Lonchura striata: one gene and its partners. The main gene of each other region encodes a partner of the protein of the gene in region 3 in a complex. Links are inferred from orthologs where the notes say so. Each region holds a gene or a part of one and is shown on either strand. Other genes may lie near its edges. The genes, in order: ARPC1B, ARPC2, ACTR2 and ARPC5.

What was found.
Region 1: ACTR2 (region 3) and ARPC1B share a complex: the UniProt entries of both Homo sapiens proteins name them as parts of the arp2/3 complex. The link is inferred for Lonchura striata from reciprocal best matches to the Homo sapiens genes ACTR2 and ARPC1B.
Region 2: ACTR2 (region 3) and ARPC2 share a complex: the UniProt entries of both Homo sapiens proteins name them as parts of the arp2/3 complex. The link is inferred for Lonchura striata from reciprocal best matches to the Homo sapiens genes ACTR2 and ARPC2.
Region 4: ACTR2 (region 3) and ARPC5 share a complex: the UniProt entries of both Homo sapiens proteins name them as parts of the arp2/3 complex. The link is inferred for Lonchura striata from reciprocal best matches to the Homo sapiens genes ACTR2 and ARPC5.

What each region holds. Positions count from the first base shown.
Region 1 is NC_134618.1:14,900,274-14,907,209, forward strand, and holds the start of ARPC1B (actin-related protein 2/3 complex subunit 1B), read left to right. Parts: upstream 1-3,925; 5' UTR 3,926-4,047; intron 4,048-5,746; exon of another isoform or gene 5,747-5,783; intron 5,784-6,393; 5' UTR 6,394-6,403; coding exon 6,404-6,467; intron 6,468-6,936. Other genes in the region: ARPC1A (actin-related protein 2/3 complex subunit 1A), read left to right, coding at 488-578, 1,665-1,703. UniProt on the Homo sapiens protein: Component of the Arp2/3 complex, a multiprotein complex that mediates actin polymerization upon stimulation by nucleation-promoting factor (NPF).
Region 2 is NC_134610.1:15,528,728-15,535,954, forward strand, and holds the start of ARPC2 (actin-related protein 2/3 complex subunit 2), read left to right. Parts: upstream 1-4,209; 5' UTR 4,210-4,329; coding exon 4,330-4,403; intron 4,404-7,227. Other genes in the region: C-X-C chemokine receptor type 2, read right to left, coding at 1-831. UniProt on the Homo sapiens protein: Actin-binding component of the Arp2/3 complex, a multiprotein complex that mediates actin polymerization upon stimulation by nucleation-promoting factor (NPF).
Region 3 is NC_134605.1:1,568,887-1,576,486, reverse strand, and holds the start of ACTR2 (actin-related protein 2), read right to left. Parts: upstream 3,006-7,600; 5' UTR 2,891-3,005; coding exon 2,843-2,890; intron 1-2,842. UniProt on the Homo sapiens protein: ATP-binding component of the Arp2/3 complex, a multiprotein complex that mediates actin polymerization upon stimulation by nucleation-promoting factor (NPF).
Region 4 is NC_134611.1:27,704,142-27,711,643, reverse strand, and holds the start of ARPC5 (actin-related protein 2/3 complex subunit 5), read left to right. Parts: upstream 1-4,486; 5' UTR 4,487-4,524; coding exon 4,525-4,668; intron 4,669-5,528; coding exon 5,529-5,600; intron 5,601-7,242; coding exon 7,243-7,419; intron 7,420-7,502. UniProt on the Homo sapiens protein: Component of the Arp2/3 complex, a multiprotein complex that mediates actin polymerization upon stimulation by nucleation-promoting factor (NPF).

The DNA of each region.
Region 1 (6,936 bases), on a different chromosome or scaffold from region 3:
TGTGAGGGTGGGGAGGCCCTTGGCACAGGCTGCCCAGAGAAGCTGTGGCTGTCCCATCCATGGAAGCTTTTGAGGCCAGGTTGGAGAAACCTGGGACAGTGGAAAGTGTCCCTGCCCACAGTAGGGAGTGGGACTGGATGAGTTTTAAGGTCCCTTCCACCCCAGACCATTCAACAATTCTGTTAATCAAAAAGATTCATTCAGGTTAATTGGGTAAAATATCTTTGCATTAAAAAAATTATGTGATCTGCAGGGATGTGGAGCAATTTCTCTTTATTCAAGGAAAACGTTTTGTCTCACCAAGCCATTAAAGAGCTTTCAGCATCTTTTTCTTGGCTTATTTTTCTGAGGCATTCTACCAAGAATCTGGTATAGGCTCTGGTATAGTCATGTCTCCAGCCAAAGAGTAGGAGTGGAATTCAACCCAAATTTCCCAGATTTCTGGCTCTCTGGAATGGGTGTTGGAGCTCTCACTCTGTGTTTGCAGCCAAGTGTCTATTTATGAGATTGACAAACGGGATTGTCGGAAATTCTGCACCACCGGCATCGATGGAGCAATGACCATCTGGGATTTTAAGGTAAAAATGTGCTTTTACTACCATGTTTATGTGAACTAGCTGGGGTGGTGGATTTTTTTTTTTTAATCTCTAGTATCAACTCCTGGGGCTCAGCCTCAAGCCAGGTTTTAGTAGCAGCAGGAAATCCAGACTGGAATATTCAAAACCATTAGTGAAATCCATAAGAAAAACTGATCCAAGAATCTGCAGAAATGCAGATGCAGTTTGTTAAGCAGATGGTGCTAATACAGACTTATTTTTTTAATAGAATTACTTAATGTCCCTGTAGGAATCCCCTTAATTCTTTCATTTTCCAGCCTCAGCCACAACTGAGCTGGAGCAATTTGTACAACACAGCCCCCTGCCTCTCCCTTCTCCCATCCCATGGGACTCTGCTCATTGTCCTGCTGCAGAACATGGTCCTGTCCTCTCAGAACTGACTTACCCAAGGAGTAAGAAGTTGTCTCTAACAGCTGGAAAATGCAATATTGAAAATCCTTAAAGGATGTATTAATGCCCATGCTTGCTTTACTCAGGCCTGGCCAACAGAGGTCCCTGTTGGCCTTCCCAGATCTGGGATGTGGGATGTGATTTAGGGAAAGAACAGATTGTGTTCTATGGTGCCAGGATGCTCTGGTGGGGACAGGAGTCATACAAGAAGTTGAAGTGATCTCTAGGCTGCTTTAGTGCAGTTTTGGGTCTGTGTCGCTGGTACCTGCCTGAGTTTGAAAGGAACAACTGTTGTGGTCTCTGGCCTCTTGCATTAGGAAGAAATCCTTTACTTAAAGGAGAAATTCTTCCCTGTGAGAGTGGTGAGGCCCTGGCACAGGTTACCCAGAGAAACTGTGGCTGCCCCTGGATCCCTGGAAGTATCCAAGACAAGGCTGGACAGGGCTTGGAGCAACCTGGGAATGTGGAAGGCGTCCCTGCCATGGCAGGGGCTTGAATGAGATGAGCTTTGATCCCAAACCATTCTCGGATTCTATGACTGAATCTAATTTCAAATATTCATGTTTTTTGCTTGTTTTTTTTAGCATTTACACTGAATTAATTTAGCCCAAGCTACAACAGCAGATTGTAATTAAGATTTTTTTTCTCTCCTTCAAGACTTTAGAGTCCTCCATCCAAGGGCTACGAATCATGTAAAGATGGATTTCCATGATCTAGCAGGACAAACTGCTTGACAGAATGCAGCTCCCACATCTGCACAAACCTGAAAAGGGAGGAGGAAGGTGAAATATTTGGAAACACTGAGAAAATACAGCTTGGCAGTTTTTCTTTTGAATCTAAATTTGGTGAATTGTGTTGGTTTCAAAATCAGCTGTGATTGTTCTTTTTTTTTTTTTTTTTTTTTGGTTGGTTGTTTCATTCCATTCTTTACCAAAGCTGCTCCTTAAGTAGTTTATTGCAGGAAGTTATGAATCACTAACTTAAAAGGGGAATTTTATGTAAATTGTCTGCTAGAAATAATAATAATAAAAAAGAGAAAAACTGATTCTTTGTTTTGAAGTTTGTTGATTAAAAAAGGGATGTTAAGGGAATTGGGAGAGAGACAGAGTGGGGAAAACCCTGCACTGATATTTTATGGCCTTAAAGCAGAAGTTCATCTGAACTGAAAGGTTCTAAAGTTGACAGACCTGGAGTTCTGGTGATCTGGATGTGAAGATTCAGATGAGCTTCTTCCAGGAGAATTCTTCCCTTGAGGTGACAATTTTGGAGAATGAATGATTTTATCCTACTTCTCTTCATTCTCTCTGCCTTGCATTTAATCCATAGCAACAGCAAATTAATCTGAATGTCTTTTTTGTTGTCTGCTTAGCGAGTGACATTTTTCCAAAGGTGAGTGACCAGAATTATCTGTGGTTGCCTTTGGGATTGGTCTCCAGCCTGCTCCCAGGGCAGTGCCTGTGGGACAATATGGAAAGCTCTGTGTGGAAAGTGAGACAAATATCTGCTGAGCCTCGTCTGGGGAAGACAAATTAAAAGCAAATCTCTTGGTAAGTCTGTGAAACTTCAAGGCTGGGGAATCACCATCCCTGGAGGTGTTCAAGGAATGACTGGATGTAGCACTCGATGCTCTGAGCTGGTTGGCAAGGTGGAGATTGGTCACAGGTTGGACTTACTGAACTTGGAAGTTTTTCCTACCCTCAGTGGTTCTGGGATTCTGTGACCTGTTAGAGCTGAGCTCTCAACCCATAAAATCCTGTATTTATGACAACTAGTGGGCAAATGAAGCTGCAACCAGAGGTGTTGGTGTGGTCTGGCTTCTGTGCTGATCCTTTGTCCCCAGGTACCTTTTGCAGTTCAGCTTGGAGCCTCAGGAGCTCACGGAGGCATTTGGACACAGCTTTATTCACAGGGTGTATTCCTCCCGGTGCTGCTGCCTTGCTGTGCTCTGAGGGGATTAGCTGGCTCATGGCATTGCTTTACAAAGCTTAAAACTGTCAATTCTGCCGAAAATGCAGAAGTGTCTTTAAAAAACCCCAATGACTAAATTTACCACTTCCTCTGGAACCAAAGTTGCTTCATACCCTGCTCGTTTCTCAGCTCTGTTGCTGTGCAAGGTCAGCTCTGAGTGGCAGCCACTGTTCTCCATCACAGAACTGGATCCTTCTCTGGTTTCCTTATGTCTCCCACCTTCTCCCCTGGCAGTCGGGCTTGGCTTTACAATTTCCTCTCCCTTCTAAACATAAAATAGCAAGTGTTTCATTTCTTGCAGTCAGAGAACCTGGGGCGTAGCAGAGGGAAAGGGGATGAGTGAGTGCATCCCTATGCCCAGGAGGGAAGGCCTGAGTGCATCCAGGCGGGAATGGGATAAAAACTAGCTGCTCTGAAGCAGGAGGTGATAAAACCAGAGGGCTGGATGTCTGCTGCGTGGGGACACAGGCATGGTGACCGCGGCCAGCCTGGCACTGGGTCCCACTGGGCTCTGTGAGATGCAGGAACCAGCAGCAGCTGCTGCCGAGGGCGGCCAGATCGGGCTCCGCGGGCTCCTGCGGATCTCCCCGGCCGTGGGAGGCGATGCCGACCAGCGTCTCTCCCCGGGTGGGCTCCAAGCTCGGCTGCTCCCCGGTGGGGGCCAGCGCAAGCATCGGGGAGTCCCCATCCCTCGGGGGTGAACAACACCCGCTGGCACAGGGAGACGGCGGGGACCCTTCCCTTCTGTTCTCCTGGCTGTGTCCTTCCCTGGAGCACCCGGGCGAGCTGCCCACGTCGCACCGGGAGCATCGCGGGGCCGGGGCGCGTCCCGGTGCGGCGGTGCCGAGCGGCCCGGCCCGCAGGCACAGGGGCTGGGCGGCTCGGCGCTCCCCCAACGCCCACGTAAGGAAGTGGTTGCATTTCTCGGAGAGGAAAAGGGAAGTCGGGCTGCCTCGGCGGGGCAGGCACAGCTCCCGCCGCTCGCTCCGGGCTCCGTTCGTGTCGACTGCCCAGAGTCCATGAACGAGCCCCGCCGGCCAGGAACGGAGCCCAGCCCGCCCTGCCCGGCAAGGTAAGGACGGGCTCTGCCGCCGCTGTCCCGTGGGGCTGTGGCTGTCACCGCTCCTGGCGCTCACAGCCCGCCCGAGGGTTCGGGGGGTCCCCCCGGGCTGGGGTCAGGGGGTGCAGGCAGCCCCTTGCCCCCTGCGAGTTTCGCTGTCGCCGCGTTTTGGGTGTTTTGGGCTTTTCTCCCAGCTTTGTCAGCAAGTTTCAGGGTTGTTTTTTTTGGGTTGGGTTTTTTTTTTTTTTTTTTTTTTTTTTTTTTTTTTTTTTTTTTTTTTTTTTTCTCTTGCCGGAGGTCTGACAGCTCTGAGGGGGTGGAAAGAGTCGTCCTGTGGGGGTCCCCTCGGGGTTGGTGCCGGCAGAGACTGAGCTGCCGCAATCTGTCCTCCCCTCCTCGGCATCAGCTGCTTCCCGCTTTGCCCGTGCGAGGAAGAGGAGGGTCAGAGCCGCCCTCCGCCTGCCCTGGCTCGGGGTGTCCCCTCAGGCCAGGCTGGCTCCCGGGGCACCAGCACGGGGCTCTGGGGATGGGAGTCCCCAGCCTGGCTGGCAGGAGCCGGGCGGTGACACCTTCGGCTGCCGCAGGGAGCAGAGCGGCTCCCGGGGGTCGGTGTTGGGGTCTTGGTGGTGCAGGGCTCCACCACAGCGTCCGGGGAGAGTTTCAGGGGGTCCCAGCTCCCAGCGGGATCCTCACTGGGTGCGAACCCTCCTCCCACCACCCCGCCAGGCTCGTAAAAACCCAAACCCCAGCTCCTCCGGTGTGCGGCTTCCTCCCGGGACTGGGAGGAGCCCCCGGCAGTCTCTCGGCTCTGCCAAGGTTTGGTTATCTCCTCCCAGGATGTTTCCGAGCTGCTTGGACTGGCCGGGGAGATAACGGAGCTGTTCCAGCTCCCAGTCCCGCCCTGTCTGGCCTTCGGAAAATTCCCATTTTCCTCCCTCAAGAGCCCCTGGGTTGGGGAGGGGGGTGGGAGAGGGATGTAACCACAGCTCCTGGATGCTCTTCCCGGCTGGGGAAGAGGCTGCCGAGCCCCCGAGGGTCACTGCAGGGCGGGGGCAGGACTCAGCCATGGGGAACCCATGGGGAACTGGCTCTAAGGGGCCGTGGGGGAAACAAAACACCACCCACTGCTCCTTTTGTGTCTGGCAAAAACTTCCGTCCTGGCACGGCGGCTGAGCTCGTCCCTTCGGGGTGGCACTCAGAAGGGAGCAGCAGGGACCCCAGGGAGGAGAGTTTATGCCTCTGAGCTCCCAAACCACCTGGAAAAAGAAAAAGCATTGCTGTTTTCTTCGTGTCGAAGCCAGAACGCACCTCGGTCCTGCCTCCCATCCCTCCTGTAGGGAGCCCTTTGAGCCATTTCGGCCAAATCCCTTTTTCCTCTCCTGATCTCCTGCAATGTCGCTGATGGTTTTGTCCGTCCCTCGTGGTGCTGCTCCATCCGCAGGGCTCGGGGGCGAGGCCCGTGGTGGCAGCAGCTTTGTGCCCTCCTTGGGACACCCCGGGCTGCATCCCAGGGGGATCGGCAGCTGCCTCCTCATCCCTGCCCACGTCCTTGGCCAGGGGCTGTGTGACAGCACTGGAATTTCTCCACATGCAGAAGGCAGCTGATGGAGCTCTGCAGATTTTCGTTTCCCCAGCCCAGGGATGGAGCTTTGCTAAGAGGGACTTTTTTCCTTTCCCCTGTAACGTTTTTAGTTGCCAAAGAAAACGGGACGTGTTCAAGGAGTTCCCAAAATAGCCGAGAGCAGGCTGTGAGTAATTCCCGTCATCAGCCGCGCCCTGGCGAGGTGTTTCCCTACATCCCTGCGCTCCCCGGGCCGGATGGCCGAGGGGCTGTGACGCTGCTCCCAGCCCTTCCCGCTGCCGTGGCACTTGGAGGGGTTTTTTTGGCAAACTGCTCCATCCCATGGCAGCTGGGGACCGGCAGGAATGGTGGGAGCTCAGCCAGGAGAAGGGATCGGTCCTGAGGGCTGAGCACTGATGGGATGGAAGGGCCTCCATGGGGCTTTGGCTCTTCCTAAATGAGAGGTGTGGAAGGAGGGGGTGGATCTGGCCCTGTTGGGGTGGGGAGAGGAGGTGCTGCCCCTGGTGAGACCCCAGGGGTGCACAGGGGGCTGCTGGCACCAGGGTCCCTGTGTGCCCAGCCAGCTCCTGCCCAGCAAGTTCCAGCCAGTTTGGTTTAGAAAATCCTGGAAATGGACAGTTTCTGAGCTTGGAAATCCTCAGGAGAACCCTCTCCCCGGCGGAGGAGAGACATGGTGGGCTGCAGCACAGGACTGATGCCAGTGGGAAGGATCATTCTGTGGGGCTGGGGTCTTGTCCCTGTGTCCTGACATTCTGGGGGTCTCTCCCTGTCCCCAGCCCGTGAGCCATGGCCTACCACAGCTTCCTGCTGGAGCCCATCAGCTGCCATGCCTGGAACAAGGACCGCACCCGTGAGTACGCCCGGGGCACCCCGCAATTCCCGAGGACATCCCCGGGCACTGTCCTGGCTCAACACCCCCGAGGCGGGCGATGCTCCGGGGCGGGGCAGAGCTGGCTTGGGGCTGGATTTGGGAAGCAAATCTGGCAGATTTGGGGGCTGGGACAGCACATCCCCCTGTGTCCCCCCGGTGCCGGGACAGAGCCTGGCACAGCGTCCAGCCCCGAGGCACCGGCAGGGGAGGGAGGGAGGGAGCGGGGCCGGGTGATTCAGGGGCGATGGCATTTCCCGAGCGCGGCCCGGGGGATGCGGAGAACAAAAAGGGCTTTCTCTGCTGCGGCCCGAGCGCCGGGCAGGCAGGATGGGGCTGGGTTTGGGAGCTGTGCACCCCCAGCCGTCCTGTTCCATCCCATCCTAGCCCATCCTGTCCTGTCTCATCCCACCAGCCCCATGGGACCACACCCTAGGGAAGGGATGGCTCT
Region 2 (7,227 bases), on a different chromosome or scaffold from region 3:
CCTCATGAGGGTGTCGCTCACTAGGGTGATGTTGTAGGGCAGCCAGCAGATGAGGAAGACCAGCACCACAGCAAAGATGACCTTCATGGCCCGCTGCTTCTGAGCATTTTTGGTCTGCAGGAGGGTATGGATGGTGACACCATAACAGAAGAGCATCACCAGGAGGGGCAAGGCAAAGCCGAATGTCTGCGGCAGGATCCGCAGCACTACCCGCCACTTGGCCGTGTCCTCGCCACTGATGCGCTCATAGCACACGGTGCCATTGTTGGGAGAGCGGAAAGCCTCACGGAAGAGCAGCACGGGCAGGGAGAGCAGTATGGAGAAGACCCAGATGCCCAAGCAGACAAACTTCACCCAGTGCCTCTTCTCAGTGGCAGCCCGTGTGGCATAGACAATGGCCAGGTAGCGGTCCACACTAATGCAGGCCAGCAGAAGGATGCCGCTGTAGAAGTTGGCTTCCTGCAGCACAGAGATGGCTTTGCACATCACAGTGCCAAAGACCCACTCGTGGGCTCGGTAGGCTGCCCAAAGCGGCAGGGTCAAAGCAAAGAGCAGGTCTGCCACGGCCAGGTTGAGCAGGTAGACGTCGGTGACGGAGCGGCTGGTGTGGGTGGAGGTCACCACCAGCACCACCAGCCCATTCCCCACCACACTGAGGATGAAGACGAGGCAGTAGATCACCACCACCAGGTACTTGTTGAGGGCAGAGTTTTCAGGCCGGCACGGAGAGGATGAGATAGCAGTGTCAGGCATGGCTGTGCTGTAGTCATAGGTGTAGTTGTAAAAGAAGAAGAGGTTGGAGAAATCTCCACTGTAGGACAAGGGCTCCATTTTGCCTGTGGAGCACAAAATGGCATGAGCATGGGGTGGTAGTGCTGTGGACCAGGGGTGACAGTATCTCTGGATCCTCTGGCATTTCTGTTGGCCCCCAGGTACTCTCCCAGCCAGTGGGCAGCTGTCCTTCATCACTGTGATGGAGGACACAGCATTCCACACTGTGCCAGGTAATGGTCAGTATGCAGGTAGACACTGTTCCTCATATACCCCCTTGTAAAACACCCCCTGCATGCCTCATTCTCCTGCATTTCACCCCAGTCCTGTCCATTTCCTGACTCTTGTGGAAGAAAAGGTTCCCCCATAGACTGATCACCTCTTCAGAGTTTGGGGGCTTCTCCATCAATGTAGCATCACATCCCTCCAGGAGACATCTGGCTCCTCCAGAAACCCTGGGCTATCCTGCTTCCTTCAAAAGCCTCTAAGCTCTTTGGGCATGTCAGAGCCCCTCACACACCTCCAAAGTTCTTCAAGTATCCCTGTATCCCTCCAGCCTCTCCACCCCCTCAAGCATTGCTGCTGTGATGCCTGGAACGGAGCTGCCCCTCCTGCCATGTCAGCCAGCAGCAAGGCTGTGGTCATGGTGGCTGGGGCAGGCAGCACTCAAGAAGGTCTGAAGGTGTTTTTGTGTCCTTCTTTCACCTCCTGGTCTTGCTCCTGCGGGAGTGGTTTCACACCCCAGGCGGAAAGACATGTCACACTTTGCAGGCAGCTTTGGAAATGTTACATCTCTGGTTTTCCTGTTGCTCAGCTGGGCACTGCTGTGTACCCCCGTGCTTGGCCAAAATGGGGAAATCACAGGTGGCAGTTGCTTTTCCTGTCTCCTCACACATAGGAGACGGTGAGCTTGCTCTGGTCCTGCCTCCCCAAAGACCACAGGCTTTCAGTCTTCTCCCAGAATGGATCTGGACTCTTGTTCCACTCCAGTTTCACCCCTTGGTCCCATTTCTGAGCCCGCAACCCCTCCAGGGCTTGGAGATGCCAGGACTGCTTGGGGTGCTGCTACCCACCTCCAAACTGGCCCTGTTTGAACACAAACCATTCCTAGAACCAACTTTTCCCTTTGCCTGATTTGAATCCCCTGCCGCAGCTGGGCTGGTGCCACTCTCTCCCTGGCTCTGCTGTATCCTCTCTTGCAGTGATCCAGGGATGGAAATCCTGGGATGGTGACCCCAGGGTGGTGATGCTGGGATATGGAAACATCAGCATCCCGGAGAAATGCAACCAGGCATGCTGCCAGTGCTGATGGGGGAATGTCCTCCCAAGTGGAGCTCCCCAGGCATGGGGCAGAGCCTGATGCAAGTGCTTCCCCTCCATCTATTTCTGGCTGCTGCTTTCTGCTTCCCCACTCCAAAATTCTGGTGGTTCCTCTGGAAATGGGTATTCCCCAGGTATAACACACACAGATAGATCCCCACAGCTGGCCCAGATGAGGGGAACAAGCAGCACTCCATTTCCCCTCCTGACCCTGGCAGGGCTGGGGCACAATGTGGGGGGCCTGGGGCTCCCAGTGGGGACATGCCATGGGGAAGGATCCTCCTAGCTCATCGCTGTGCAAGGAAATGGGAGCAGGTATTTTTCCCAATGGCACCCAAGGCTGATGTCCCTGGGGACTATGGAGGGATTGCACCCCAGATGATCCCACAGCACAGCCTTGGTTGCTCTCACCCACCATCTCCCTCTACCAAGCAGCCTCTTGGGCAGCTGGACCAACCCACCCCAGCTCCCAGGCTGCTCCACATGTGAAGGGGCTCAGATGAGTGATGTGGGGCTGTCAAAGCCCAAGGAAAGCCACAATCTCCAGTGGTGCACCCCATGGACTCACTGCTTGCTGCTGTTGCCGTCCCCTCAAATGTGGAGTCTTCTCTTGATCCCAAGCTGTTTCTCACTGGGAAGCACACAAGTATGAGTTTAAATCCAGATGTCACCCCAAAAGGGCTCAAAGTGTGGTGGGATGCAGGGCAGCACCAGACCCAGGGGTCTCACCAGCCAGAGGATCCTCACCTGTGCCTGCTGCTGTGCCGCCTCCCAGTACCCCTTTCCTCCGCCACCCACTTTATACTGCCCGGGGAGGAAATGTTGCAAAATCTTCTCCCAGAATGAAGAGGAAGTGGCAGCCAAAGGGACCCTTCTGTGGTCCTCACAGATGCCTTTCCCAGTCCAAGGGAAGCCCGCAGACCCCTGTCAGCCTCCTGTCCCAAGATGTCCCAGGCCACGCTGCACTGGGGGTGCACCCAGGGGGTCATTGTCATTCCTGTGATGATGCACCCCGGGGGTCACCAGCTGGGGGTCTCCAATTTGTCCCCAGGTCTCCAGTGGATGAGGGGATCCCCTTCAAGGCACCCCTGTGTGCTGCGGTCCCCCCAGGAGAGCAGAGCTCTCTGAGGCCATGGTCAGTGGGTGATGGCAATGCAGGGCTCTGTGCCTCAGTTTCCCCATTGATAGAGCGGTAGGTGGTGTCAGCATTTAGGGGATGCACACGGGGACTGCAAGACTGGCTTGCCCTCCATTGGGGGTTGCTGTGGGGGACCCCCCCAGAGTAGAGTCCTATGTCCCTCCTGCCCTGGCTGTGCCTTGCCAAGCTAAGCCAAGTCAAGCCATGCCATCAATGCCATCAGACAGAGCCGTGCCGCTGTGCCAGACTGTGCCAGCCCTGCAGACTTAGCGAATGCTGTGGCTCCGAGTATCCCTTCTGCTTTTAGGGGAGAACTACACACAAGAGCATTCCCCATGCACCTCCATTACTCTGGGGCACTCACAAACCCCTTGAGCACCGCCATCCTCACAGCTTTCCATGCTTGTCAGCCATAGGGCTACCTCACGTTTTTGGGGCACCTGGTAAGTGCCATCATCATATCCCTTCATCATATCCCTTGGGCATCACCACAGACTCAAGGACACTCCTATTCTCTGTGGGAACACCTCCTCAGTTTTGGGCAACCCCAAGATCCAGGGCACCATTTACAGCCCCCCTAGGATACTCCCACTCCCTGTGCCACCTCACATTTTTGGGGCCCTGTAGCTCTGAAATTATATATTTTACAAGATACCATTTTCCCCTGTAAGACCCCCATACACTGGGGCACACCTACTACTTCCTCGAGCGTCCCTATGATCCTAAGGGCATTCCACTGTTCCGGGGACCTCCAGCACTGTGAGTATTCAATTAACGGGGTGTGGAGGGGGGGACCCTCACATTGCGGGGGGTTTCCAGAGCGCAGGCTCAGCCCCACGCCCGGCCTCACACGGCTGGCGGCGGTGCCGGTGCCCGTGCCCGAGCAGCCTCCCCATCGCCTCGCCCCGCCCTCAAGGGCCGCCCCCATTGCCCGCCCGCCGCGCGTGACGTCATCGCGGGTGGGCGCGGCGAGGGCGGGGCGGCGGCGCCGGGCCGGAAGTGACGCGCGGGCGCGAGAGCGGAAGCGGCGGCGCAGGCTCGGGCGGGTCCCCGGTGCGCGCAGCGGGCTCGGCTCCCTCAGAGCCGCTCCCGGCACCGACATGATCCTGCTCGAGGTCAACAACCGCATCATCGAGGAGACCCTCACGCTCAAGTTCGAGGGCGCGGCCGCCGGGTAGGAGCAGGGGAGCCGGGGCGGGGCGGGGACGGGTCCGCGGAGAGAGGGAGGGGCGAGGGGGCGGTGGCTGGCGGGGCCCGGGCCGTGCCGGGCACCCGGGCACGGAGCAGAGCCCGGCGGGTGGTGCCGGGACAGGATGGGGCTGAGCGGGGCGGAAGGTGACAAGGCAGGATGCGGGGCTGGGGAGCGGCACTGAGCCCGCGGGCAGTGTGCTACCGGGGGGCGGCCCGGGAACGAGGAGGGCAGAGCGGGCACGGGGTGGGAGCCTGCGGGATGCAGAGGCTGGGAGGGGGGTGGTCAGTGTGCGGGAGCTGAGCTGCGGGACGGATAGAGCTTGGGCAGAGGGAAAGCTGGGGAATGAGGGAGCAGAGTGGGACAGGGCAGTGTCGGAGGGGAGAGTGGAGCTGGATGGGGTCGCTAGTGCCAGAGCAATGGGGAGCCCCGGGGGAGCAGGACGGGTCTGGGAAGGGTGCCGGAGATTGCCGTGCTGAGGTGGACTGGAGGACAGGGGTGGAGAAGGAGGAAGTTGGAAAGGGAGGAAGGTGGATTTGCAGGGTAAAGTGGCCTTCATCAGCGTGCTGCCAGCGCTGGTACAGAATGTGTAGGGGGAGGCGACGAACAGGAAGCCTGTGTATGGAGTCATGGCCTCAGCCTTTTGCTTTGGGGTGAAGAGCAAATTTCAGTTTGCTCCCTCTTAGCTTTTTTGAGCAGAAGGGATAGAGGCGCACAGGTCAGCCATGGCTGCTGGTGCCAGCCTGGTGGGTGTCCTGGCCTTGGGGAGCAGCCTGGGGGTCTTGTTCACACCCACATCTCCAGCTGGAACATCTCAGTCCATGGGGAGCCCGTGTTTTTTTTTACTGTGAGTGTTGCACCAGGGCTGTAAAGATGCTTGTGAGGACACAGCTTAGCTTGGAAGGAAGTCCCTTAAGAATGAATGTCCTTATCTGCAACCGAGTGGCCTGTGGGCTGGATGCACTTGCTGCCTGCTGCCTGAGACACCTTTGTACACAGACAAAACCTTGAGAGGCAGAGCACAGTGGTGTTATCTCTGGGGTGGAGCCTGCCCTGGCACCTCACAAGGCAGGGCTCAGGCTGCTCCAGGAAAGGACCCTCCCGGGCAGGTGCCTTTTTCTGTGTTACTTTTTCTCCAGCAATTTTTGAAGCTCTCATCCTTTTATGTGCAGAACGTTGTCAGAGGCCACTTAGTTTGCTTTCCTTCCACTCTCAGTTGACTTGCTGATCAGATTTGTGTTTTGTTTTGGTGGGGCTTTTTTTTTCCATAAAATAATTATGCAGGCTGCTCTGCCTTGGAGGACTGCTGAGCTTCTCCCAGATTTTGATTTGTCTTGAGCCCTGATCATTTAATGCAACAAGTTTCCCCAGAGTACAGGCACAGCACTGGGCAGAGAGAGCTCCCAGATGACCTCTGTGGTATTGCAGCCACATCCATTAGAAAATATGGCATGCACAGAGGTTCACAGTGAGTGTCAGAACCGCGTGTCAATCACTAGTCTGTGCCAAGCCACTCTTCCTGATGCAGAGAGAAGAACGTGTGTGTGTCCCTGTGTTGATCTGACGTGGAGGGGCAGCTTGCAGGTCTAGATGCACCCCAAAACTCTGACTCTCTGAGCAGAGCTGCACTTGCTTGCCCTGCAGCAGCCTGCAGGCCCCTGACATTTCCATTTTGCTGCATGGCAAAGCCACCTCACTGGTGTGTGGGCACGTGTGCCTGACATACTGACTGTTCCCGAATCAATTAGTAGGGTGGCTGATGGTGTTCTCCTTCTGCCTTTTAGTCATCTATGGCATATTCTGTTCTTTAGATGGCGTTTCTAGATAAGTTTTGTGCCTTAAGTGTGTTGCTGATGGTGAGGAAGACATTTACTTCTGAATTTTCTTCATGCTTGTTCTGGGCTCCCCCATCCAGGCACGTGCAGGAACGTTTCTCCTGCTTTCAGGTCTTCTAAGGAATAGATGTTACAAAACATTTATTCAAGTGATATTTCTTTTTCCTATGGCCACAGCTCTGGGGTTATTCCTGTGGTGCTCAGCCTGGAGGTAGGAAGGGATTGCCTGTATTTTGCTATTTTGATGATGATTTTCCAAGGTGTATCTTGGGGCTGAACACAGGACAGTCAGGGCAAGGTCAAACCTTGAAGAATTTGGTGACTGGGAGGAGTGAATCTGGACACTGGGGCAGAGCTGGGTTTACATTATTTGCTCTAAACCAGAAGTGCAGCAGATGCAATGCAGGATTTGTCAATAGTGGTTGTCTCAGAGCCAGGTGTGCCTTGTAGCTTCAGCACCAGCCTGAAAATGGGGCAGGGCAGGGTTCTTTTCCAGATCCTTTGCCAGATACTTGTCCTGTGACATGGGCTGTGTCGCTCCCTTCTACTGCAGTGCAGCCATAGTTTGACAGGTTCCTGCAGAGCTTTCCTGGGCTATCAGGTGGGAGACACTCCACATTTCACCTTGTCATACAGAACAAGGTCACATTTAGAAGATGGAATTCATTAACTGCTATTATTGTCATATATGTCAAGATCTGTTCTGCATAGAGGTCCATCAACTGTCCCTGGATTTCCCAGTGTGAAAGGTACCTCAGCAGGACTGCAGACAGAGATCAGCACTTGAGACAGGGCCTAACCCACCTCTAAGAGTACTCCCTGAACAAGGTCCTTGGGGCTTGGCAGCATCCACCTGTAAATAGGGTAATTTCAAATTTAATTTGGTTTTGTGGACAGTCCCCATGTGTTGCTATTGGACACGAAATGAGTACACAAAAGTTTGTTAAGTTTAAAAGAGAAAAAGAGTTAATTTT
Region 3 (7,600 bases):
ACAATAACAGACTTTGGACTCTCTTAGATTTTTTGAAGCGGTACAGGAAATATAAGATACAGGAAATCCTTCAAAATCTTCAAGTAAATGAACAGCAGTAATCTGGAACAGATTCTCTTTTCTAAGGCCCAACATGAAACACTCACTGCTCTGCCACTCTCAGTTTGAAACACTCTAATTCAAGTTCAGTGCACTTGTTTCTCTTCCACCTCTTGCCAAGCACACCCCTCACAGCAATTATTGAATTACAATGCTCATGTTTCCAAAAAGAACACAAGCACTCCATGAATTCACCTATTTCTGCAAGAACTTCATCATCATTTGTTTTTGCACACATTTGCTATACATTCAGAATGTTCTAAGAACAGCTATTTAGCCTGCCTGTGTGCAAGACCATGTATGTAATTTTTACCATATATAGTTTCTTCCCCATTTCACTGTGGTTTATACGGAGTCTTTCACTTCCTACTGAGTCATCAAACACCAAGAACTTGCATGTATAAGTGTTCTTTCAAACTAAAAGAATGAGGAAGCTTGCAAACGGGTCACGTGACTGGTTTTAAAATGAATAATAATACTCTTATCAGATCTCCCTGCTTGATCCTTTCCACTGATGCAACACTCAAACAAAAACCCTAAACACAGTTACAACAATTGTACAGGCCAGTGAGTAACTTTCTGCTTGGCCTCTAACAATAAGAGCATCCACCTCTAACGCTGCAGACCTTTGAGGTGCCATTGCCTGCCTCCCACACTATGTGTTGCAAGAACTTCCTTCGAGCCACTCACCTCTTCCTCAAAGACTGGCTGCAGCCTGATGCATCAGGAGTCCTACTGCAGCCTAACAAGAACAGCAAATTGCAAAGACGAGCCTAACGTTAAAAATTCACCCGTTTTTCCAAAGATATTCTCCATTTTTTACCTATAAGTTTTCCGACACATGGAGAGCGATTTCATTTCAATCATGCTTTTAAGTGTGAGATATCAGAAATAATGCTAAACATTTCTTGTCACATAGGCAAAATATTATTATCAAAATAGTGGCTTGACAATACAGAACTACTTGATACCTCGACATGCAATTGAGACTCAAAAATTTTACTGAATGGAATTTTTGTGCAGATTAGTTATCCCAATCCTTGTCCAATTATCCCAAATCAATCTGAACATTTTGAGTTGACTCATTTAACAATTAAAACACTCTTTCACTCTACTCTCCCACCCAAGGAGTTCTGTGGCTTCCAGGCACACATTGTTCTGCCCAAAAACCCAGCACAACCCAAAACCACACAGGCTGAAATGACACAGGCTCCTCTTGCACCATAAAGACACCTTCCACTCCTGTGGTTATTTATATCCTGCTGGTCCAACTCATCGAGGGAAAAACTGTATGGATCCAAGATGTGTCTGGAATTAACAGCATGCACAGATACCCCAGGCTGTAAAGAAATGTGTGTGGCACACCCAGCTTGGGAAATCTGGTTGGAAAAATTGCTTTTACCCTCTGTGTCACACCTGAGACCAGCCAAGGCACAACACTGCTGTCACCAGCAATACACTCAACATTTTACAACTCAGTGATTATTGCCATATAAAGGACCACACCAATGGATGAAGCTCTGAATTTTTTGTTTTGGTTTTTTTTTTTTTTTTTTTTTACTCTGGGCCTCGCAATAGGAAGATTAAAGAAAAAAGAACAATAAAAGAAGTCAAACAAACAAACAAACCGTAAAGCAGCTTCCATATCCTTTTGTAACAAGAAAATGCTATCTCCTTTTCTTTCCTTTCTCTAAATTATAGTGTAAAAAGTGCCCAAAGGCTCTGAATTCTAACCCTATCAAAGATAGCTTTTGCTATATGAGGGTTAATGAAGACATCATCACTGTCAAACCCCGAAACTGTCAAATATGATGTTCTTCTTCCTGAACCATTCTAACAATTTCAGATGCTAACTGAAAAACCCCCTAATTTAGGATGCTGAATCTGTAATAAAATAATCCTTTGTCTCAAATATTCTTTACTAGGCTTATTAAAAAAAGAAAAAAAAGTCTTTTTTGCAAGTGTTCATATAAAAAAAAAACCCTTGTTTTTTTTTGCCATTCAAGAGATCTTAATGCACCACCAATCGAGGTAACTCTGCACATAATATTGCTTTACTGGGGGAAACCTAGACTGCTAAAAGAAATTACCGAGGGGAAATAACCACCGATAGCATCTGATCTCCTCCTGCTTTAAAATGGTATCTTTTTCACTTCCTGCCAAGGTGCTTCACAGCCTGACAAAAGGATGGATTTTCCAGCGGTGCCTGCACGCTTATGGAGGCCAGGAAAGGTGGAAAGGATGGGGAGAAAACCTTTCATTTAGAAAATGCCGATTATGGGAGGTACGCGGCAGATCGGAGAGGCACGGAGGAAAGGATGATGCTCTTAAAAAAAAAAATAAATAAAATAAAATAAAATAACCAAACACATTTCCCTCAAGTAATAATCCTGCAGACACAGGACGCATCCTGACTGCCCAACGCATAATGCGCTGATTCAGAATTTTTAAAAATCGCCGTTTTTGTCTGAAGGCGCGCTGCTGAGGGGACCGGCCCAGGTCACGCAGGGGAATCGGGACCGCCGAGGGCCGGGGCCGGGCACCGCAGGGCCCGGGGAGCACGGGCACACCGGGCCGAGGGCCCATCGCCCATTCATTCCGCGGGGACGGCGGCCGGGCCGGGCGGGCGGTGCCGGCAGGAAGCCGGGCCGGCTCCGGTGGGGGAGCGCCACCCGCCTTCCCCTTCCCCTTCCCCTCCGCCCCGGCGGCAGGGCGGCTCCCGGCGCCGCCCGCGCGCACTCACCCCGGTGCCGTTGTCGCACACCACCACCTTCCTGCCCAGCGTGTCCATCGCCGCCCACACCGCCGAACGCGGCTCCGCACCGGCAGCCCCGACACGACACCGAGCGCGACAGCGGCACCGCCCCGAGCTCCGCCGGGCCCCCCGCGCGCCGCCCGCCCGCCGGAAGCCGTCAGCGCGCGCCGCCCGCCCCGCCCGCCGCCCGCTCCGCCCCCGTTGCCGGGGCGGCGGCGGCGGCAGCGGGGCACGGGCGGTGCGGCGGCCCGGAACCGAGCCCCCGAGTCACCCCGAGCCCCCCGAGCCACCCCGAGCCCCCCGAGCCCCCCGAGCCCCCCCAGCCTGCCGGCTCGCCTCCCTGCGCCCGCCTCCCACCCGTGCGGAGGTGGGGGTCGCCTGAGGGGCCGCCCGCCTTCCCCCCTCACGCCGCCCTGCCTGCTCTGCCTGCCCGCGCGGGGCGAAATCAGCCCCGAAAAGCTTCTGTTTGCCGGGGATGCTGTGTCCATTCGGCATCTCCCGAGCTTCTGCTCCTCCCACAGGCCTTGCCCAGGTTCGCCCGGCGAACAGTTTGCATTTGTGTGATGGGTTCTGAGTGAAGGAAAAGATAAAGTGTGATCTGGCTCCTCTCTGGCAGCTCCATATTTGTAAAGGATAAGCGTGACCTCCTGCATTGTCTCTGGCAGCCTCAATATTTGTTTATTGTGTTGCCCCAAATTCCACAAGAAGTCAGGAGCAACCCCAGGTTTTTCCCTCCATGCCACGAACTGTGTCGGTCCCCTATGAACAGCAGCCTGTTCCAATTGGGTATTAGATGCCAATATTTGTTTATTTTGTTGCCCCAAATTCCACAAGAAGTCAGGAGCAACCCCAGGTTTTTCCCTCCATGCCATGAGCTGTGTCGGTCCCCTATGAACAGCAGCCTGTTCCAATTGGGTATTAGATGCCAATATTTGTTTATTGTGTTGCCCCAAATTCCACTGACTTCCACAAGAAGTCAGGAGCAAACCCCAGGTTTTTCCATCTGTGCCATGAGCTGTGTCGGTCCCCTATGAACAGCAGCCTGTTCCAATTGGGTATTAGATGCCAATATTTGTTTATTGTGTTGCCCCAAATTCCACTGACTTCCACAAGAAGTCAGGAGCAAACCCCAGGTTTTTCCATCTGTGCCATGAGCTGTGTCGGTCCCCTATGAACAGCAGCCTGTTCCAATTGGGTATTAGATGCCAATATTTGTTTATTGTGTTGCCCCAAATTCCACTGACTTCCACAAGAAGTCAGGAGCAAACTCCAGGTTTTTCCCTCCATGCCACGAACTGTGTCGGTCCCCTATAAACAGCAGCCTGTTCCAATTGGGTATTAGATGCCAATATTTGTTTATTGTGTTGCCCCAAATTCCACTGACTTCCACAAGAAGTCAGGAGCAAACCCCAGGTTTTTCCATCTGTGCCATGAGCTGTGTCGGTCCCCTATGAACAGCAGCCTGTTCCAATTGGGTATTAGATGCCAATATTTGTTTATTGTGTTGCCCCAAATTCCACTGACTTCCACAAGAAGTCAGGAGCAAACTCCAGTTTTTTCCATCCATGCCATGAGCTGTGTCGGTCCCCTATGAACAGCAGCCTGTTCCAATTGGGTATCACACAATATAACCTCTGGTATAGTTAAGAGAGTTACATGTTGTGTGGAAAATCACGCTGTGAAAGGCCAGTGTCTGCAAAGGAGACAGAGGAGCCCTGCAAAAATCAACTTTATTCGAATCAAGGTAGAGAGCCATGCCCCTGTGGAGTTTCAACTTTCCCCGGGTACAGCCTTCCCAAACTGTCCCCTACACATTCCCCCCTGAACGTGTGTCCCTCCCTCATTGTGCACTGCATGACCATTAAAATTAAAATTAACCATTAGCCCACCCCGGGAGGAGAAATTAATACTCATAAGTCTATTAGCTCTCTGCATTTTCCCCCAAAGTTCAGAAGTTCAGGCTGTGCTTTGCTCTGCAACAAATGCAGGGCTTGATGTAGGTAAAGACCCCCACGCCCATTCTTCCAGAGCCTTGCAGGTCCTTTCAGATCAAATCTTTTGTAAAGACTTTAAACCCATTTCTTCTATCACATATGAATAGATACACATGTTTATGGTTGTCATTTTTTTTCTACCTTTAATTTTACAGAACAGTGAGAACAATGAGAAATTTTATAAATACCAGAATATAGGCCATAATATTTGACTTTTTTAAACTTTAATCACATCCAGATATTGAGGATGAGGAAACAAATACCTTGTAGGACGAAGAGGCTGTGGGAACAAACAGGGACTGATCCAGTGGCATGCAGCTGTGATGGAAGGACATCCTGGTCACTCTGCACAGCTTTACCTGGGTACAATTGCTTTCTAATATACATAAGATTAATGATCTCATTTTAATCTGCTTTTCAGAGCATGGCACAATTTACATTGCTCCTTGAAGCCAGATGTGTAAAGCAATTGCCTTAAAAGCCTGCTCTTTGTCCAGAAAAATGAATTAATCTGTATGTTTTAAACCCCTCAGCTTGTTGAACCTAGCATAGAGGGCTCACTGGGGGAACTACACCGTTTCCTACTCTGCTGATGGACTTGCTGAGTAATTCTGACCAGCCTGTGCCTCAGACCCACGAAGCTGGATTTGGTACCATGCCACCTCATACTAATGCTCGTGTATAAAGCATCTGCAATCTCTCAGTGAGAAATGTTTCATTTTGGGTTCAAATTATTTGTCAGACAGAATGTTTCAGCTGTGCCTTCTCATGCACAGTGGTGGCAACATTTACTCTGCTCCAAGGCAAGCTATGTTTTAATGTGGCAGCAATGAAGCAAAAAAGAAGCAAACTTTCTTCCTAACTTTCCTGAGATTAGATATTCAGTAGATCCTTAAATATAACATTCAACCCCTTTTTAATAATGTTTTGTAGCTTTTATCAGAAGAGCATTTTCCTGCCAGGAATTTAGGCTATCAGTTAAAGAAAACTATGACAAAGGGTTAGTTTGATAATTGCCATCAGAATTTAAAGTATAATCAAAGTCTCAATAAATAGTGATATTGAAGTCTAGCAAATAGAAACGGTTAATTTGCTGTTTATAGCCCAGCATGAAGATTTAATATGAAAGGGATACAGGTCTGTACCAGAAGTACCAGAACTTATATCCTTCATGATACAGTCAATAAATTCACCACTGTTCTTACTACCAACTGTTGTTGCTGTTAGCTGCTGGATAGCTGTCAAAGATTTTTGCATTTTTTTAAATGTCATGTACAATGCAGGAGAGGAAATATAATGTGGTTTGAACAGACATCTCTTTTAAAACTTTATTTTACTGATTTAGCTGGACTGAGATATTACTTCTTGTTTTAAAGATTTTTTTTTTTTTTTTAAAGCAGTGTCAGTAGGAAGAAAAGCCATGGAGAGAACTAACCACAGTTTCCTAAGAGCCCTAAGCTGTGACTTCTGTGAGTGAGCAAGATGTCATGATAGAGGATAATAAAAGTATGATGACTAAGCAGAGTGCCGAAGCTTATCAGAGAAAGTACTACCTCTCTCTTATAATGAGTTTGATAGACCTTTATGAACTTGCCAATTAAGTGCTCTGTGCTTAACCTAATAGTGCAGGCATACAAAGAGAGGCAGGAAATACCCAGAATTAAAAGGGAAAATGAGTTATTGCAACAGCTGTCCTATAGCTCTGCTGGGTATAGAAGAGAAAGGAGGGTATAGTGATATCTTGCTTGCAGCAAAGCAAACAGTGTGTTCCTCAGCCCCACCTCCACTCCCCACAGAGCCAGGGCTCTCCCAGTATATGGAATTTGGACCTGGAAACTCTGGCTGGCTGGAGAAACTGAGGCCAGTTCATTCCTATGCTGATGAGGCTGGTTCCAGTGCTGTATTGCCAGGGCAGGAGAAAGACATTCTACCTGAAAACCAGCATTAACCTTTTCAATAATCTGTTTGGTGCTTATTGAGCCATTTTACCTTTGTCTTGGATTTATTTCATTACTTTACCAAAATAGAAGGCTAGAAATATTCACAGAAAGTGTCCCCTGACTAAACACTGATCGTTTTCTGGATTTATCAAACTGTGGATGTAACAAGTTAAAAACAGTCTGGATACTTCTGAATAGATCATGGTTTAAAGGGCAGAAAAGCCCTCAGCAGACACACCTTCAAAACCGTGACTACCTCATTAGCATTAAGGGACTCTGACCTTCAGCAGATCCTCAATATCTCACTTTCCTGCTTACCAAAGCCAACCAGGCTCAGGTGCCAGAGGCAGTGTGGCCGTGGGGGCCAAAGCAGGATCATTTTCCTGCTAAGAAAAGACAATTTGGTTGTCAAACTGCACCAGCCCAGGAGTGCTGAGCAGGCCTGGATTTCTGTGAAGGACAAAAGGGTCTGGATTCTCCTCCCTATAAGCACCACCCATTCTGAGTCATCTGAGCTGGAAGTACTGGCATAATTGCAAAACATCTTCACACAGATGGTATGATCCGGTGTAGCTTACATGAGGATTCTTGAGTGCGCTATTTGGCTGTCATTAAAATACTATGAGGAGAGGTTTTTATTGTTGGGTATTTTTCACAAACATTTCTTCACAGGTCAGAGAAAATGCTGTTTTTTTTAACATCACAAGGGTGTGGAGTATGAACTTTTATTTTTGTTGGCTCATTTCCAGATAAACATAAGAACACATTGTAAAGGTCACTTTGTGTTTTAAATTCAACAAAAATTCCATTTT
Region 4 (7,502 bases), on a different chromosome or scaffold from region 3:
AATTTCTGCATGCTTTTTAGCCTGGAGAGATACCAGAATTTACCTAATATTTGAATAAAGAAAAAGAAAATCCCAGCCCTGATCATTAGGGTGTTTTTCCCTAGGTGCAGAACATATGTCTTGGATCCTGGCTCACTTCCAGACAGAGTCATTAGGGACTCTTCTCCCTGTGGTTTTCACTGGATAAAACATTCCTCTCCAGTTCCTCCTGTGAACATTTGTGCCATGTCATGGGGCACTAATCAGTCATTCCTGCCCTCTGCCCCAGACAGGCATTTTAGCAAAAAGTTAAATAATTTCTAAAAGTTATAATTATATCCCAGTCCCCTCCAAATATAGTTGGGAGGGGCAGAGATAGAACTATAATTTTAAGTATAATTGGATAGATAGAGAGAGATAAATATGGATCTGTTAACACTCATTTTGAGCTCCTAGGGATCCAACAGACACCATCTCCTGTATCAGAATGGTGGCTCATGGAGAGGAACAGCATTGGCAAAGGAGCCAAAGGCTGATGCTAATGCTGCACGTCCAGAAATGCACTTTGGTTGTGGGAACACTCTTCCAATTAACCCATCCAAAGAGGTAGTTTGGGATTTGACTCCCATCCTGTAAGGATGTGATACTGTTGATTGAGGAGATTGAAAATTTGACGGGTTTTGACCAGGACGAAGCACCAACCAAAGATAAAGAGGCAGGTTTCGGGGGGAGATGTAAAATGTCCGGTGCCTCTGGTTGAAAAGCTCTAGAAACACTTAAACAGAGCTGGAGAAGCAAACGGCTCCATCCGAAAAACAACACGCATCCCTGAGGTGCGACATTGCCATCATGCGGCCATCCCAACTCTGCAGGAACACCAGCAGGGACAGCAGGAATGGGAACCTTATCCCACACTCGCAGCTTTCTCAGTTGTCTTTAGCACTGGCAGCCTGCAGGAGAAGTGGCGGGGGTGACACCCTCTCCTGACACCCCTCTGCAAAGGAAAACACTCCTTTCTCCGCACCTGCCCTCCTTTATGCCAGGGAGCAACGGCATTTTCTATTTCCCGGGGCACGGCACTGCCAGGGTGACATTGCACTGCACACAACAGAGCACGGCTGACCATCCAAAATGTGCAGAAACACCAGAAACGACAAATGGACCACTCCTCATGTCAGGAAGCCAATCTTTAGGAGAAATCTGAATGAGAACAGCACAGTGGTCTGGATCAGGAAGGAACTACAGCACATACATACATGAAAATATATGAGGACAATACACAGAAGTTACTATAGAGTCAGAGTGGAAAGCAAAGCAAATTTTAAAAATTATGAATTTAAGGAAAAAGTTAAATACAGAGGGCAAAACGGTGGTATGCAAAAGTGAGCTGTGATAAAATGTGCAGATGGCTATGTTTTACAGTGGAGCAGCAAAAGAATTATGAAGATCCAAGAATGATGAGGGGCAATGAGAGCAGCAGTGAAGACAAATAATTTCCTGCTTGAGCCAATAGCTGTTCACCCACACAAAATTTGTGTTTTCCCTCCTCTGGCACCCTGGTACAAAGCATGACTGAGCTTACTCACAGAATGACCCACTGCTTCCTGGAATTAAAGCCTCAGGGACGGGAACACAAACTTCCGAAGAAAGGGAAAACCTTGGTGCAGAAGTACAACAGGAGTCTTCTGTCCAGCTGGCACACTAGATAAACACACAAATCATTTAGAAAGAATCTCAGTTGGACATTCCTTAGAACACCCAGATTTCAGCTATAACAATATTGTAGCAAAACTTCACTAATAAAAGAGGGCTATAGTATCACTTGAGAAATTAAAAAATAATATTGACAGGCACAGAACAGACATTCAACTCCCACAGATGCCTGGCCCCACAAAGGCAAATTCTGTTTGCCTTCCCATCTCCCAGAAACTGGCACCTGGAAACATCTAAAAGAACCTGCCTGCTGCCACCATCTCAAACAGGGCCAAGCCTTTGCACTGGGAAAGATCCTGCTGCATGGAACTGCCCAGACCAGGGAGGAACCTTCTTCTGCACCACAGAATTTGCAAAGATTGTAACAGCCCTAAAGTGGAAACTTTAAAAGCCACTGAAGGAAATCAGATAAATATTTGCTATTACCCTGAGCTGGACCTGGTAATGACACCTTTTTAAGTTCTTTTTGCATGTTTTTGTTTTTTTTGCCAGATTGAATCATGGAATCACCTGTAACAATTCTAAAAAGTGTGGCTGTTTCTATTGTACAGTTTTTCCTCTATAGGGTATAAGGGAAAATTTTACTCTTTATTTTTAGCAAAAAGTCTGTTTTGTGAATAATGCCTCCAGGCTCCAAGAGTTTTGTTCTCTGTGTCATCAACCAAGTTTCCATATGCTGCTACAAGTTTCAGCAGCTATTTGAAGAGACTGTCCACTATTTCTTATGTATAACACACTTTGTGTGTGCCATCATGGGGGCAGCCCCTCGTCACCCAGCTCTGCCAGCAGGTACACAAAACTGACATCAAATTAACTTAACAGGAATTAAAACATCTTTTAGGACAGCTTTTCCCCAAGGAAAGCAGGGGAACTCAGCTGGACAGCAGAATTTAAAAGCCTTTTCCTCTGTCACCCAGCCTCCCAACAGCCTTTCCCAGCCTTGGAAGACATTCTGCTTCCTCTGATGTCTCCAAGACAAGGAGGGCTTTTCCCAGGTGCATTTCTGCCCTCTCAGAAGGAACAGCTTATAGCCAAGATGCAGAAATATAGTAAGGCATTCAAAAATGCCAAAGGAATAATTCAGTGGAAGTCCTCATTCGGAAGCGTTTCCCTGTGGCACACGCCTGCTCTGAGGATGGCAGAGATCCACCCACTTTTTGGTGTGAAACTGAGATCACAGATGGCAAAAAACACCAATAAAGTCCCCTCCAGCCAAATTTAATCCATGGAATAACTGTGGGTCTTAAATAATGGATTATGAACATACTTTGGTTTTAATCCTCAACCTCTTAAGCCAGGGCAGTAAACCCTGAACCTCAGTACTCCCTGCCCATGGCAGGCAGTTGGAACTACATGACCTTTAAGGTCCCTTCCAACACAAACCATGCTGTGACTCTCTGACAGTCTATTTACCTCCTGCAATTACTTTGCTGCCCTTAAGCCAATTTCCAGCAGAAAAATGCCAGCAGTCCCAAGCTACAGCCACAGTTCCAACTGGACTGCAGCTTCCCAAGCTGAGGCAACTTTGGGGAACATGGGACATATCCTAAATTCCTCCTCTATCAAGGAGGTGGGTGGTCCTGCAGGTAGGGCTGATACAGGAATAAATTACAGGGGTTAGTGGTGGGTGTAATATGTGTATCTATATGTGTGTGTGTGTGTGTGTGTGTGTGTGTATTTTTTCTTCCAGGGCTGTTGTTTTCTCTTAAGAGGAACCTCACAAAGCTGTGTCATTTCCTAATTAATAATAGGGTAATTATTATCTACAGAGGCTAAGTGTAACTTTAAAAAATTACAGGCTGTGGCTATTTTTTAACTCTCAAGGTCACTAGGTGCTGTTGGAGTAGGAGCTCCCTGAGCAATCCAAGCAGGGCAGCTCCCACCTCACTTGAAGCTACACGGGTCCTGCCCAGCCTGGCGCTGTCCTGGGGTGGACAGAGGGACCCAGACAAGCTTGGGAAGAGGCTCGTGGGAATCTCATGGAATTTAACAAGGCCAAGTGCTGCTGCTGCACCTGGGTCGGGGCAACTCCCAGGATCAGTCCGGGGAGGGGGCAAGCAGATGGAGCAGCCCTGGGAGGATTTGGGGGTGCTGAGGGTGAGAGCTGGAGCTGCCCCAGCCCTGAACCCCCTGCCCTGGGCTGAGCCCCAGCGTGGGCAGCAGGGGAGGGGGATTCTGCCCCTGTGCCCCGTGCTCAGCTGAGACCCCACCTGCAGAGCTGCCCCAGCACAGGAGGAGCTGGAGCTGCTGGAAGAGCCCAGGGGAGGCACAGCATGGTCACAGGGAGGGAGGAAAGGATGGGAGAGATGGGATTGTGCAGCCTGGAGCAGCTTTGGGGTGACCTCACTGTGACCTTGCAGTACCTGGAGGAGCTGTTGGGAATCCCGAGGATACACTATTTACAAGGGTCTGGAGTGACAGAACAAGCAGGAATGGCTTCAGAGTCAGTCAGAGCACGGTGACAGTAACATCAAGGTTGTGGCTTCAACTCCGGTATGGGCCATTTACTTAAGAACTGGATTCAGTGATGCTTGGGGGTCTTTTCCAACTCGGAATACTCTGTGAACCTGTGAAACTTCAAACTGAAGGAGAATAAGTTTAGCCTGGCTATTGGGAAGAAGCTGTTCCCCGCGAGTGAGGCCCTGGCACAGAGTGCCAAAGAAGCCGTGGCTGCCTCAAGTATCCAAGGCCAAGGTGGTGGGAGCCGGAGCAGGCTGGGCGGGCCGCGCCCTCGGGTCCCCCCGGCTCCCCGGCCGGGGCCGCGCTCGCTGCGCCGGCGCCGCCGGGCGGGGCGGGCCGGGCCGGCCGCGGCTGCGCGGGGCGGGCGCGGCCATGGCGAAGCACACGGTGTCCTCGGCGCGGTTCCGCCGGGTGGACGTGGACGAGTACGACGAGAACAAGTTCGTGGATGAGGAGGACGGCGGCGACGGGCAAGCGGGGCCTGATGAGGGCGAGGTGGACTCGTGCCTGCGACAATATCCTGAGGGGAGCGGCGGGGGCGGAGCGGGCGCGGCCGCCGCCGGGGCGGCCTTGTAGGGGAACAGCGTGAGCGGCACCGGTGGGCAGGGAGAGATGGGCGGAGAGGGCTGGAGGGGATGGGGATGGAGGGGAGCGGACTGGAGGGGAAGGGACAGGCGGGGAAGGGGATGGAAGGACAAGGGAGGATGCTGAAGGGGGAAGGGGCTGACAGCAGGAAGAGTCTGGCAGCAGGAAGAGGCTGAAGGGGAAGAGGCTGAAGGGGAAGAGGCTGAAGGGGAAGAGGCTGAAGGGGAAGAGGCTGAAGGGGAAGGGGCTGAAGGGGAAGGGGCTGGCAGGGGAAGGGGCTAGCAGCAGGAAGGCGGCCCAGCTTCCTCCCCTGCCCGCAGCAGCCGCAGTGCCCCGGGGCCGCGCTCAGGGCGGTGTCCCGGGGATGCAGACAGGGCGTTCCTGTGCCCAAAGAGTTCCCGTGCCCGCTGCCAGGGCTGCCTCGCCCAGCTGGCCCTTGGTCACTTTTCCCTGGGCTGCTGTCCCAGTGGCTGCTGGGGCTGGATGTGACAAGCTGAGATCTGTTCTCGGGGGCTACAGATTGCAGAAGTGATGGAGAATGGTTTCTATTACTCATTCAGGGAATGGCCTAGGAAGTATTCAGCAGTCCCGGAACTATACAGCTGCTTGTTGATGCTGCTCCTGCCTCAAATGGCCTGAAAATTGCTGTCTTAGGCTGTAATGTCTTCTTAGCTGGTGAGGGAATCCCTGCATCAGAGTGTTTTCAGTCATGCACAAGCCAGCTACAAATATAGCTGTCCTGGTACTTGATGTCCGTGTATTTGGTGTCTGGTCCTTAACCATCTGGCACAGGGAACATGATGGCTGCACTGCAGGCAGCTCTGAAGAACCCTCCCATCAACACAAAGAACCAGGCAGTGAAGGTAAAATAGCAACTGCTCGCTCATGGGTTACTCCCTAAAAATCCTTTCCTGTCTCTGTTACTTCTGTGCCACTAGTTGTACCTTGAGGAGGCAAGAGGAGCAGAATTTAGGGTGAAACATCCATGACCACAAGTGTTTTAATCTTGTTCAAAATACTGTAGCTCAGGTACAGTACTGTCCACGTACCTTTACCTTGGTGCTGGATCAGGTGTGGTTCTCCTGCCAGTGCTGTTTGTGTTTTGTGTGCCCAGGTGTCATCATGTGCCTGTGTCTGCCTCAGACCACACATGGCAGCTCACAGATGTAATCCTTGTGTGCTCAGGGAGCCAGGGTTGCAGTTGTCACCTCTGACTAATGAAACCACCAGCAGTGAGCCTACAAAAAAGGAAGAATTGTTTTTTGTCACATCCAATCAAAATGAAGCTGTTAAACCTCAGGAAAAGCAAGTCCTCCCCCTGTGATAGTGTGGGAGTCTGCTGGGTATGTGCATTTCTGAACATCCCCAGGATGGATCCTGAATAGCTCATGATTGCAGTGGTAGGAGGAACAGGCTGATAAGATATGGCAGTGCCCAGCTGGTGAGTGCCTGCAGTTACTTCTCCGTGCCCAAGGAGAGGCCCAGGGGCATGGCTCCCTGCTCCATGGTTCCTGGCAGAGCTGTTCCTGCAGCCCCAGCCCTTTCCTGAAGGGTTTTACAGAGCTCTGAGAACCAGCTGTTACAAATAGAGCTGTATAGCTTTGTCCTCACATTAATGACTTGTTTCCATTAGCCCTCTATTGAAGGATTTAAGAATACATTTGGTGGTGGAATTGAAGAGGGTAGAATGACTGAACATTAATACCTGTATTAATTTTTGGTTATCTTTGGAACTTAAATAATTTTACTTACAGTCATGTGAGAAGTCTTGCTAAAGCAAGTGATTATGGAGTATTATTAAATTGGGCAGGAAAAGTGACATCCACAGTTTCTGTAGGGGGAAGGTGCCTGACATGTTTGTACGATGGAATTATTCAAACGTCCAGCAACCCCGAGACATTTTTCTCTCATCCTGCCTCAGTTAGTGATGGATGAACAGGAGGAGCTGCTCCTTGCTGATTGCATGGCTAATTGCTGCTGTAAGCTCACCTCACACATTCCCAGGCCTGAAATGACATCCAGATCAAACGTTATTAATTCTTAATATTAATGGCCAGTCTGCATCCAGTGTGCCTGGGACTGCTTGGAAAGCACGTGGCTTCCAGCAGTCACCTCTTCCAATGGCATTTCCCTGGATCATAATGGTTGTGTCACGTTAAACAGTACAGAGGTATGGAAAAGGCTCTAGTGGGAAGAGGGGCCAGATAAGCACTTGATTGTTATAATTATTTTGGAACTTGATACATCTTGAGCTTCCAAATGAACATTTACTATTTAGCTATAATTAAGGGGCGGAGAATTGCAAACACTCACAGAGGCATAAAAACTAAAGGAGGGCGAATGTGTTAAACTCTTTTACCTTGTTTATCCTTGAGAGGATGTGTCTATTAATCTTTCTATGACAAGCTCTTCACACACTGTCCTCTTCAGAGGTGTTAAAGAAAAAAATGCAGTTTGGCTGTGCCTCTCACCAGGATGGTTGTGTCTGTGCCTGCCTGTTGACAGGATCGTGCTGAGAGCATCGTGCTGAAGGTGCTCATCTCCTTCAAAGCCAACGACATTGAGAAGGCGGTGCAGTCTCTGGACAAGAACGGGGTGGACCTGCTCATGAAATACATCTACAAGGGCTTTGAGAGCCCCTCTGACAACAGCAGTGCTGTGCTGCTGCAGTGGCACGAGAAGGTGCGTGCATGGGGACAGCTCCTGCCACAGTGCCCAGGCCCTGAGCCTGGCCAAAACTCCCTTCCTGGCTGGTGAGACTCAAG